Drosophila melanogaster: one gene and its partner. The protein of the gene in region 2 interacts with the protein of the main gene of each other region in a pairwise test. Each region holds a gene or a part of one and is shown on either strand. Other genes may lie near its edges.

Evidence for each region. Proteins that work in one complex are often made in the same cells at the same time.
Region 1: the proteins of Atg10 (region 2) and Art3 interact in a two-hybrid assay, tested with the Drosophila melanogaster proteins (one large-scale study listed by BioGRID).

Annotation. Positions count from the first base shown.
Region 1 is NT_033777.3:15,227,105-15,231,248, reverse strand, and holds Art3 (arginine methyltransferase 3), read left to right. Parts: upstream 1-1,840; 5' UTR 1,841-1,983; coding exon 1,984-2,005; exon of another isoform or gene 2,006-2,069; coding exon 2,070-3,598; 3' UTR 3,599-3,644; downstream 3,645-4,144. Other genes in the region: CG34316 (uncharacterized protein), read right to left, coding at 1-91, 158-352, 411-631; mRpS10 (mitochondrial ribosomal protein S10), read right to left, coding at 897-1,152, 1,222-1,487; Caf1-55 (chromatin assembly factor 1, p55 subunit), read right to left, coding at 3,903-4,144.
Region 2 is NT_033778.4:7,830,287-7,836,050, reverse strand, and holds Atg10 (Autophagy-related 10), read right to left. Parts: upstream 3,881-5,764; 5' UTR 3,828-3,880; exon of another isoform or gene 3,748-3,827; coding exon of another isoform or gene 3,686-3,747; intron 3,596-3,685; coding exon of another isoform or gene 3,409-3,595; intron 3,350-3,408; coding exon of another isoform or gene 2,360-3,349; exon of another isoform or gene 2,210-2,359; intron 2,118-2,209; 5' UTR 2,114-2,117; coding exon 2,018-2,113; intron 1,953-2,017; coding exon 1,796-1,952; intron 1,739-1,795; coding exon 1,473-1,738; 3' UTR 533-1,472; downstream 1-532. Other genes in the region: CG12822 (uncharacterized protein), read right to left, coding at 2,360-3,349, 3,409-3,595, 3,686-3,747; Prosalpha1R (proteasome alpha1 subunit-related), read left to right, coding at 4,456-4,531, 4,594-4,770, 5,059-5,540; CG18853 (uncharacterized protein), read right to left, coding at 5,654-5,764.

The DNA.
Region 1 (4,144 bases), on a different chromosome or scaffold from region 2:
ACGCAGCTCAATCTGTAATGAAGATATGGCCAGGGGAGACACCGATCTCAATCGAAACGAAATGAGGATTGAAAAGTTTGTAATGGAGGTTCTAAAAGAGAAGTAAATAAATATGCATTTTTGTTCACAGATTGAAATTGAATGAAGATGGCCTTACTCGGCATTGCCATCACCGGCCAAGTTGAGGATATAGGCCAAGGATCCTTTGGCGGTGTATAAGGATTTGAAGTACGTGAGTGGCAAGGTAACGTTAATGGTGTTCTTCAAACCGGGCACCGGGGATAAGCTGAGCGCAGGCACATCAAAATCGGACAATCCGTGCAACTGAAAGTTGTCAATGGACCCAGTGAAGCTAGAAAACAAATGAATTTGTAACGCCTCTAAGCGCACATATTACAGCATTTGCTTACTCCACGAGGTATTTGTTGTTCAGTTCTGTTTCAGCAGGCCCCAACTGCAGTGGGTCCAATGCGGGCAGGCCTAGATTCGGGATTGGGTGGCACATGCGCATACGGAACTCCTGAAGGAACGCCAAGATTTTCGCCTCGTAAACGCAGGCAGCGGGCGACAGGCATGCGTAGAGAATGGCTGTGGCCAGCAGGACCTGTGAAGTGAGTTTTGCCCGCTGCATTCTGCTGATTGATTCGCTTCCGTTCGGTTTGGAGTAGCTACTGGTATGCCAGCGTTCGCCCGCCCTGATTTTGTTTGCTTACTTTTCAAGTGGATCCCATCGTGTGTGTCAAGATACGACTTTTATTTCAATATTCTGCCAAAAACTTATCTTTGCTAATCGCGGACGGGGCCCGAGTACGGCCGATTACCGTGCGGATTGCTGGTGCAATCTAAGCTCATACTGAACTTTTAATAACTAAGGTCTACTGTAGTATTGGCTTCGGCTAAACTTGCTCCGGCGGCTGGCGCAAGTGCTCTGGGATCTCCTGCAGCTCAGTCCTGGAAGCCTGCAGCGCTACGCCCTCGGGCAGATTACGTTCAATATACTCTAGAAATGTATCTAGCGTGGAGCCCGTCAACTTGTGGAAGTTCATATAGCGGAAGTGGGTTCGCACCTCGTACTGTACGCGATGTTTCTTGTAGATATGCACCGACTTCAGGAGCGTCATCCGCTCGTGGTGCGCCTTGCGAGGTGACCAACTGCATGAGGATTAACGAACACATATGTATGTTAGAGATTTCCTTTACCGGAGGATTTTTACCTCTTACCATTTTCCCTTTTCAATGCCCAAATGCTCGGCAGCAGTAGTAGCAAACCAGGTGTAGCTCTTCAGAACTGCCGGATCAATACCCCGCAGCTCAATCTCCAGCTTGCTGTAGAGTTTATCCGGTTCCGGAGCAGGTGCCGCAGGTGAAAGATTGCCTTGTACGCCGGAACTGGTGTTTACCGTGGACAGAGCCCGCATTGGCTGTGTCCAGCGGAGCGTCTTTATAGCCTGGGAATATAAATCTAGATGTTTCATATGCATTTTCATTGATATATGGGATCTAAATACCTGTAACATATTAAAAACTGTATTTACACCTAGAATTATGCAAGTGCGGCAGCCGCAATACTGCTTATAACGCCTTTTCGAAAATACTGAAAAATACTACATACGTAGTGTAAATGTTTCTGTGAGTCTATAGTTACTTACCTACCCTGTAATAAAAATGAAATGTAAATTTTTTTCTTTAAGCCTACTTCTTCCAAGCAGAAAATTAATTTGTTAAAATATCAGCGTAAACATAATTTCACTTTTACAATGTCGTCGAAAGTTATTCTATAACATATATCCCCTGCGATACCCTCTAAAGCAACATTTCAAGTATACCAAAACGCGTTAAGCTATTTTCGTTTCCAAATTTCCGCACGTGTTCGCGCCGCTCAAAACCCCATTTAGTTGGCATTTATAAATTTGTGATCTTCGTCGTGCGATTTGAATTCTTTTCTCTGAAAGCAGGCCAATAGGACTTGCAAACAAAGATAGCATGAAAGACACCGAGGTCAACGGTTCGAGCCCGTAAAAGCTTTTATTTCCTGGAGATGATTACTTATTAATCCCATCCCAATGTAGACAACACCACAGAGGAGGAGCCCGTGAAGGAGGCACCTGAGGTGCCGGCCAATTCCAGCTCCGACGAAGATGAGTACGATGACATAGATGACGATGATGAGCCAATGGACGAAGGCGATGAGCTAACCACTTGTCTGTTTTGCACCGAAACATCTGCAAACATCTCGGTGGCCATTGACCATCTTGACGCCCGGCATAAAGTGAATCTGTCCCAGCTTCAGCGTAAATTCGAAATGGACCAGTATTCCTTTATCAAACTGATAAACTACATAAGAGCCAAAAAGATCAGTGCCGAGCAGTTATTGTCTGCGGAACATCCGCTTTGGCAGGATGAGAAGTACCTCCAGCCCGGGGAGTATGAGCCCTGGCTCTGCTATGACTACGAAGTCCTTAAAACAGACGGCGCTCCGACGCAGCCCTCGGTTCTGGAGCTACAACAGCGGATTGCTGAGCAGTCGCAATTGCTGCAGCAGGCCAACGAGGACATGGAACGCATGCGCAACGACTACAAGGCGCTGCTGCAAAAGGTACATGCTGACGGCGAGCCCAAAGGTTCCGACCAGAGCGTACCGCGTAACAACGTTTGTCTCGACAACGAATACTTCAAAAGCTACGCCCACTTTGGCATTCACCATGAAATGCTCAGCGACAAGGTGCGGACCAGCACCTATCGCGCGTCTTTGCTCCAAAACGAGGCCGTTGTTCGGGGCAAGACAGTGTTGGATGTGGGATGCGGCACGGGAATCCTATCCATCTTCGCCTCCAAAGCGGGTGCAGCTCGCGTTGTCGGCATAGATAACTCGGACATTGTGTACACCGCCATGGATATCATCAGGAAGAACAAGGTTGAGAATGTTGAACTGATCAAGGGACGGCTGGAGGACACAGATCTCCCAGAGACTAAATACGACATTATAATATCCGAATGGATGGGCTATTTTCTTTTGTACGAATCAATGCTGGACAGCATTATCTACGCCCGCGAGAATCACCTCAACCCCAATGGCATAATACTGCCCAGTCGCTGTACACTCAGTCTCTTGGGCTATGGAGACGACACGCTTTATGCCGATGAAGTGGAATTCTGGTCTAACGTTTACGAGGTCGACATGAGCGATCTGCGAAAGCAATCAATAGAGGAGCCACTCATGCAGGTGGTGGATGCAGAGTTCATGCTGACGGAACCCGAACAGATAGCTAACTTCGACATAATGACCGTCGATATGAACTATCCAAACTTTACTCACCAGTTTAGCTTAAAGGTCACGAAGCCGGGACGATTATCCGCCTTTGTCGGTTACTTTGAAACATTGTTTGAACTACCCTCCCCCGTCATGTTCAGCACATCACCATCTGCGACGCCCACCCATTGGAAGCAAACGGTTTTCTTCATCGAGAACCCGCAGGTTGTGAAGGAAGGAGACGTCATTTGTGGGAAAATCACGTCAAGAAGACATAAAGAGGATGTCAGAGGACTTAGTGTGGACATAGAAGTCTTTGGCAAGAAACACAAATACAATGTGGTTTAATGTGCTTCTTTTTGAATAGAATTAAATAAAATACGCTTGAAGATCTAAGTTGGTATTTAATTTCAAAAAAATTAACCTCATTTCTTGACTTTTTAATCATTTTTAATTAAAAATTCATAGATTGTACAATCTGCTGACAAATGAGAGCTTAATTAAATTTTGTTTTTAAAAATATGTAAATATATATAAATTAAAATGAGTACCCATTGCCATTTAGGCTGGATAGCTGGACACGGGGCACGGCCAAAACATTATCGGATTCAGTTGTAGTTTGGTGTGTATTATAGGAGGCGGAACAGATGCTTTAAGCGGTATTGGTTTCTAACTCGGAGGCGGGAATCTCTGGCTCCTCGTCGTTGTAAACATTCTCGGCCATCTGCCAGACCTGCATAATATTGTCCTCGGACACGGAGCAAATGATCCATGGCTCATTGGGGTTCCACGAGAAATCGCTAATCTTGGCAGTGTGACCGCCATGGATGAAGAGCAGCTCGGGTGGTCCGTCCTCAGCATCCTCCGTACTCTGCTCCTCGCCGATTTTGGACA
Region 2 (5,764 bases):
AACAAATGTAACTTGGCATGATGCAAGTGTCAACTAAATGGTGCAGCTTTAAACGAAATTTTATATATGAACACATATATTGAGATGACACAAACCGGATGTTGAACAATACATACATAGCATATATATTTCGTATAGTCGTATATGTTTGTTAAGTGCCAATAAGGTCCTCACAAATACAATACTCATAGAAGAATACCCTGTCCCAAGCCTTTTCTCACCCCCATCAGTAAATTTAACCGCCCAGGAAAAATTTCAAATCGAAAAACCACATTCCAAGCATTTCCCAGACCACGTGTACATTTTTAGACGCAAAGCACGAAGTAGTGCAAATCTGGTAAAGTGAAATCACCAATAATCTTGTTTGTTAAACGTAGTATCCCTAGAATCAAATAACTACTAGCTGATAGTTATTGAATGGCACGAAACCAAAGAGCACTATTTTTGAATTATTAGGTAATATGAGAGGCACTGCTCAGATGGAATGTTAATTGGATATACTCGCAATATAATATGTGTCCTTCGAATCGTTACTCCCCCTAAGTAGTTCGGAATATTAAAGCTTACTTCGAAGACTAACCATAGTTTTTACAAACACTTCACACCTAATGTTATGGAGCGCGTCGAGATATCCTAGCCATTTTCCGAGTCCAAATTGAGTTCTCCTCGTACGTGCCATCCTAACCGACCTTAGACTTCCTCAGCAGGATATCCGCACTGCACACGATTAATCCTTAATGTACGTGGACTCTTGTATACTGTCGAACTACTATTGCAAACCAACGTAATATACATAAAAGTCGATTTAATTTTGCAAATAAACATTTTCAATGCGATTCCCCGCGCCCACGAGTCCTCGGTTCCGCATGGAACACGGGGTTTTGGTGCCAGCGCCGGGACGCCGCTAATGCCACACAGTAGCCAGTTAACATTAATTATAAATGAACCACTTAATATTAGTAAAATGCAAAGCAAAGCGGCTCAGCAAGGCCACGCTTGTGTACAGTACAACTAGATGTAAGCGTATACCTGTCTAATGTTAAATCGAAGTAATCGAAAAGTAGCTACTAGTTGATATTAGCCGAGAAAAAATAACGAAAATAGCAAGTGGAACTTGAAAACTATACACTACGTTAAGCGATAAATAATGCCTAAGTAGTTGAATGTATTCACTAAGCGGAGTTATAACCTGTGTACAAAGCTGGGTTCCTTTCGTAACTTCATTAGTTTTTCATTTTTAACTTAAATTATCCATGTGATGTGCTGCTTCAGGTGTCATGTCACATGGTACGACCCTGTGCCCCATGGATCTTCACTTGTGCCAAGAACTGGTGGCGATGGGGTCCCCAGTTAAGGTGTAACCACTCTAAAATAGGGAACGAAATGTAAAACTGTAAAAGGGCATAAGCCATATTATCCATACATGTATACTCCTATAACCAGTGTTTAAAAAAACCACCAATAAATTCAAATTACGTATACTCTTGGCTTAAGCCGTACGCATTTTGCAGGTGCAACTGCACGTGGGGTCCGTACAGACTGATGAAGGTAAGCACCTGGTTGCAGCTGGGCTTTCCGAACTGCTTTAGCACTTCGGCGGTGCGGCATGGATGCAATGCCATAAAGGGTCTGAAAAGCACCGGGTGATCCATCTGGGTGAGTATCTGGTGGAGATCGCTGGCCTTCGATTCGGGCATGAACATTCGCCAAGTGGCCTCCACATCCAAAAGACTTCCATCTACGATAAGTGGATTTATTTTCACATCTAGTGAGATTTTGTAAAATATGTAAATACCTGATCTGTGTGCCTGGAAGAACAACATTGGTACTTGATAGGAAACACTGAAGACCACATGGTACTCCACACTAACCAACTCAGCCGAGTTGTCCTTGCCACCTCGGCATTTAATCTTCTGACTACATTTGAGATAGGTGTTTGGTTCATTCGAGTCCTTAATTGGGATGGAAAACGTATTAAATAATTAGCCCGAATTATAAAATCCGCACTGCGAGATACCTTTTGTTCCAATATCCAATTATCACCCAACTTCTGCGAAATTTCGAGGAACTGCTTGGCCTGGCTCAAAAAATCTTTCCAGCTCAAGTCGCCCATAATGCTGAAAATAAAGCACAAAAATATGCGTGTTAAAATCTTTAAACACTTCAAATACCCACGCGTAACGATACTTGAAAGAAAACAATTTCTTTTGCGTGGGAAACAAGCCTCATACATATATTTAAGAATGTCCTGTATTCTAGAGCAAAATTGAAACGCCAAAGGTTAAAGCTCCTCAACACAATACACTTAAGCTTAACACAAATCGTCAATTAACGAATATCAATTGCAATAATCCATAAGTTAGGCGCTGCGCAGGTCGCCGTCCAGGGCGGTAACCTGGACATTCTCGTTGCGCCGGACCTGAACCACAGTCACCGTGCCGGCCTTGTCATCAAATTTGCACGTCACCGTGACCTCCCGCAGCTGGAAGGTAAATATTTGCGAGCCATATTTTGTGCGCAAGTAAACGGAGCGCGGATCCGCCTCCAGAATGTCCACGATGCACTGCTTCTCCACCTGCAGCTCCTTTAACTGCGCCTCGGCATGCTCGTTAAAGGTCACGCTAAGTCTATTGCTGGCCACCACCCAGTTGGGCACTCGCACGGCGCTGGGTGGCGGCAGAATAGCGTCAGCTCCAATGCCCGCGTTCCCGCTGTAGCCAGCTGCTCCATACAGTTCCAGGTCCGATTCCTCTCCGTCAGGCTCCTGTCTGGAGTCGTAGAAGTCCAGGCTGCTCTCATGCGGTCCAACAGAGGTTCTTCCTGTCCGGGGCAAGAACTTTAGTTGCATTTCTGCTTGATTCTCGTCCAACGTACCTGAGTCAACGCTCAAGGATGGTGCATCGTAGTGTGGAATGTAGGGCTTAATGTCCAACACGGGTGTGCCGTCTACCATGTCCGTACCAAAGAAACTAATGGTGGCGTTCTCGATCTTCTCAATCTCCACCAACGAGAGACCAATGGGACACGGGCGGTGTGGAGATCGTGTGGAAAACACACCCACCCGCTCCCCACCAAGACGGGGAGGCGCCACCTTGGCCTTGGGGTGGGAATTGTTGCGGTGAAAATGATAGATGAGCCACAGATGGGAAAAGTCCTCTAGTCCCTCCAAGGAGTGCTCCGGATTGGTGAACACACCGTCGTTCAGTTGGATGATACCCCGCAGGCGACTGCCCACAATTGACTGCCTCGGCACGGCCCGCTTCTCTGGGAATGCTGTCCGGATCACTCCTATGGGCCGAAAGTGTGCGTAGTCCTCTCCCAAGCAGTGCCCACCATTGGTATAATTGCTCTAAGGATTGGGTGCGAGGTTTGTATGTGTCTTTCAGTGTGTGGGAGGGTCAAACGCACCTGACCTTGGCCCGTCTGCTGGTCCTGCGTCTGCTGTTGGTGCTGGTGCTCCTGCTTCTCGCCGGCGACCTTGTCCTTGGCGCTTTTGTTGTTGTTCGCACACCCCTCGCAGCGGAAGTCCTGCAGCAGGCGGGTTATCGTCTCAATGTCCTTGCGCTGCACATGCTGCAGGTTGCGCACTTGCTGCCTGCATCATGGTCAAGGCAAAATCGGTGTGAACTTGAACTATACCAGTAGCAAAAGGACACTCATGGCAATTTGCCTGTCTCAAACGCACCTGAGATTGTTGATCTCGTTCCGCGCGATGGTCAACTGACTCTTCAGATCATCCTCGTGCATTTTCGCTGCCGGCAACGCGCACTTGACTCCCAAATAATCCGCAATTGCAGCGTTCTCCGCTGTTATTGACCAATATTTACCTCGATTCTCAATGGTTACATCCAGCTAGAGTTGGCCATCACTTACGCACGGCACCGCGACGTTATCGATTGTCGATAGGTTCACCTGTGCTTAGTTACGGCCAACTGCCTTAATTCCAGTTAGATTTAGCTTGCGCTCAATAGCTTTTTTTACAAACATTTTCTTAAGAAATAACGTTGTAAGCCTCAACAAAAATTATATAAGATAACGTTACTGAGCAGTAAAAGTTTTGTCTTCAATTTACATATGTTTGTTAATATTTTTTTTTACAAATCCCTTTGCTCTATGTTGACTAATTTACAATAATTCACAAATAAAAATAGGAATAATTTAAACATTTTGTAAGCGTAGCTTAACACTATTTTGGCTTTTTCCAAATATTCGATTTCAATGATAAACGATATATCCCAGCGCGCGTTTCTTTTTGGTATTTTTTAGGTTCATTTTCGGGCTGAGAATGACAATCTGAATTTTGCACAGTAGGTTCGATTTGAAGCGACATTTTCCCTGCTATATACAAATTTGTAAATTTTAATTGTTCAAAAGGTGTGTTGCTTGCGGCAGACTTGAGAACTGAATTTTAACCGGCGTTGTCTATTGCAGCTATCGAAGCACGAAGAAAGCATCATGTCTCGCGGAAGTTCAGCCGGCTTTGACAGACACATCACGATCTTCTCTCCGGAGGGACGCCTCTACCAAGTGGGTTAGTATCCTGGCACTTGCGGCTCCATTGTATCCAGTCTGACATTCTCATTTCCCCGCCAGAGTACGCCTTCAAGGCTATTGCCCAGGAGAACATCACCACGGTGGCGCTGAAGAGTGGCGACTGTGCCGTGGTGGCCACCCAAAAAAAAGTGACCGAGAAGAACATCGTGCCTGAAACGGTGACCCACCTGTTCCGCATCACCAAGGACATTGGATGCGCAATGACCGGACGCATAGGTATGAACCATAGATACTTTAAATTCTTGTTTATCCCGGCGTGATTCGAGTCAAATTCCAGTCGAGTTAGCACAGAGTTATCCCATTGTTGATATGTCCCATGTAACCAAGTAGCGATTCACTTATGATTGTGCTAAAATCAGAAGAAATAGCCTGCCAGACATTAGGGCAAAGGCGTATAGCGTGGAGCCATTTTAAACGTAGTTTTCACACGGTGCTTCAACTAGAAAAGAGGACATATCAACCCAAGAGTGTCACTAAATACTTAAAATTATTTCTCTCCCCTAGCTGATTCCCGCTCACAGGTGCAGAAGGCCAGATACGAGGCCGCCAACTTCCGCTACAAGTACGGCTACGAAATGCCCGTGGATGTGCTGTGTCGTCGAATTGCGGATATCAACCAGGTGTACACGCAGAATGCCGAGATGCGTCCGCTCGGCTGCAGCATGGTGCTGATCGCTTACGACAATGAAATCGGCCCCAGCGTTTACAAGACGGACCCGGCTGGCTACTTCAGCGGGTTCAAGGCCTGCAGCGTGGGTGCCAAGACTCTGGAGGCCAACAGCTATCTGGAAAAGAAGTACAAGCCCAACTTGTCGGAGGAGAAAGCGATCCAGCTGGCCATCTCCTGTCTGTCCAGTGTGCTCGCTATAGACTTCAAGCCGAACGGCATTGAGATCGGCGTGGTCAGCAAGTCTGATCCCACTTTCCGTATTTTGGATGAGCGGGAGATCGAGGAACACCTCACCAAGATCGCCGAGAAGGACTAAGTTCTGTCCCGCTAGCTGTAATTTTGTCATATTTTATAAAGCCTCTTGGATCTATGGTTAAATAAAAAATGCTCTTGGCTTGCATTCAAAACAAAGGCAAATCCGAAAACGTTTTATTTCTTCTTGTGCACCTTACCGCCGTATCGCATGACAAAGGCATTTACATCGAATTTGCGACGGCATCCCTGATAGTTCATGTACCTAACCTTACCGAAGATAGCCCG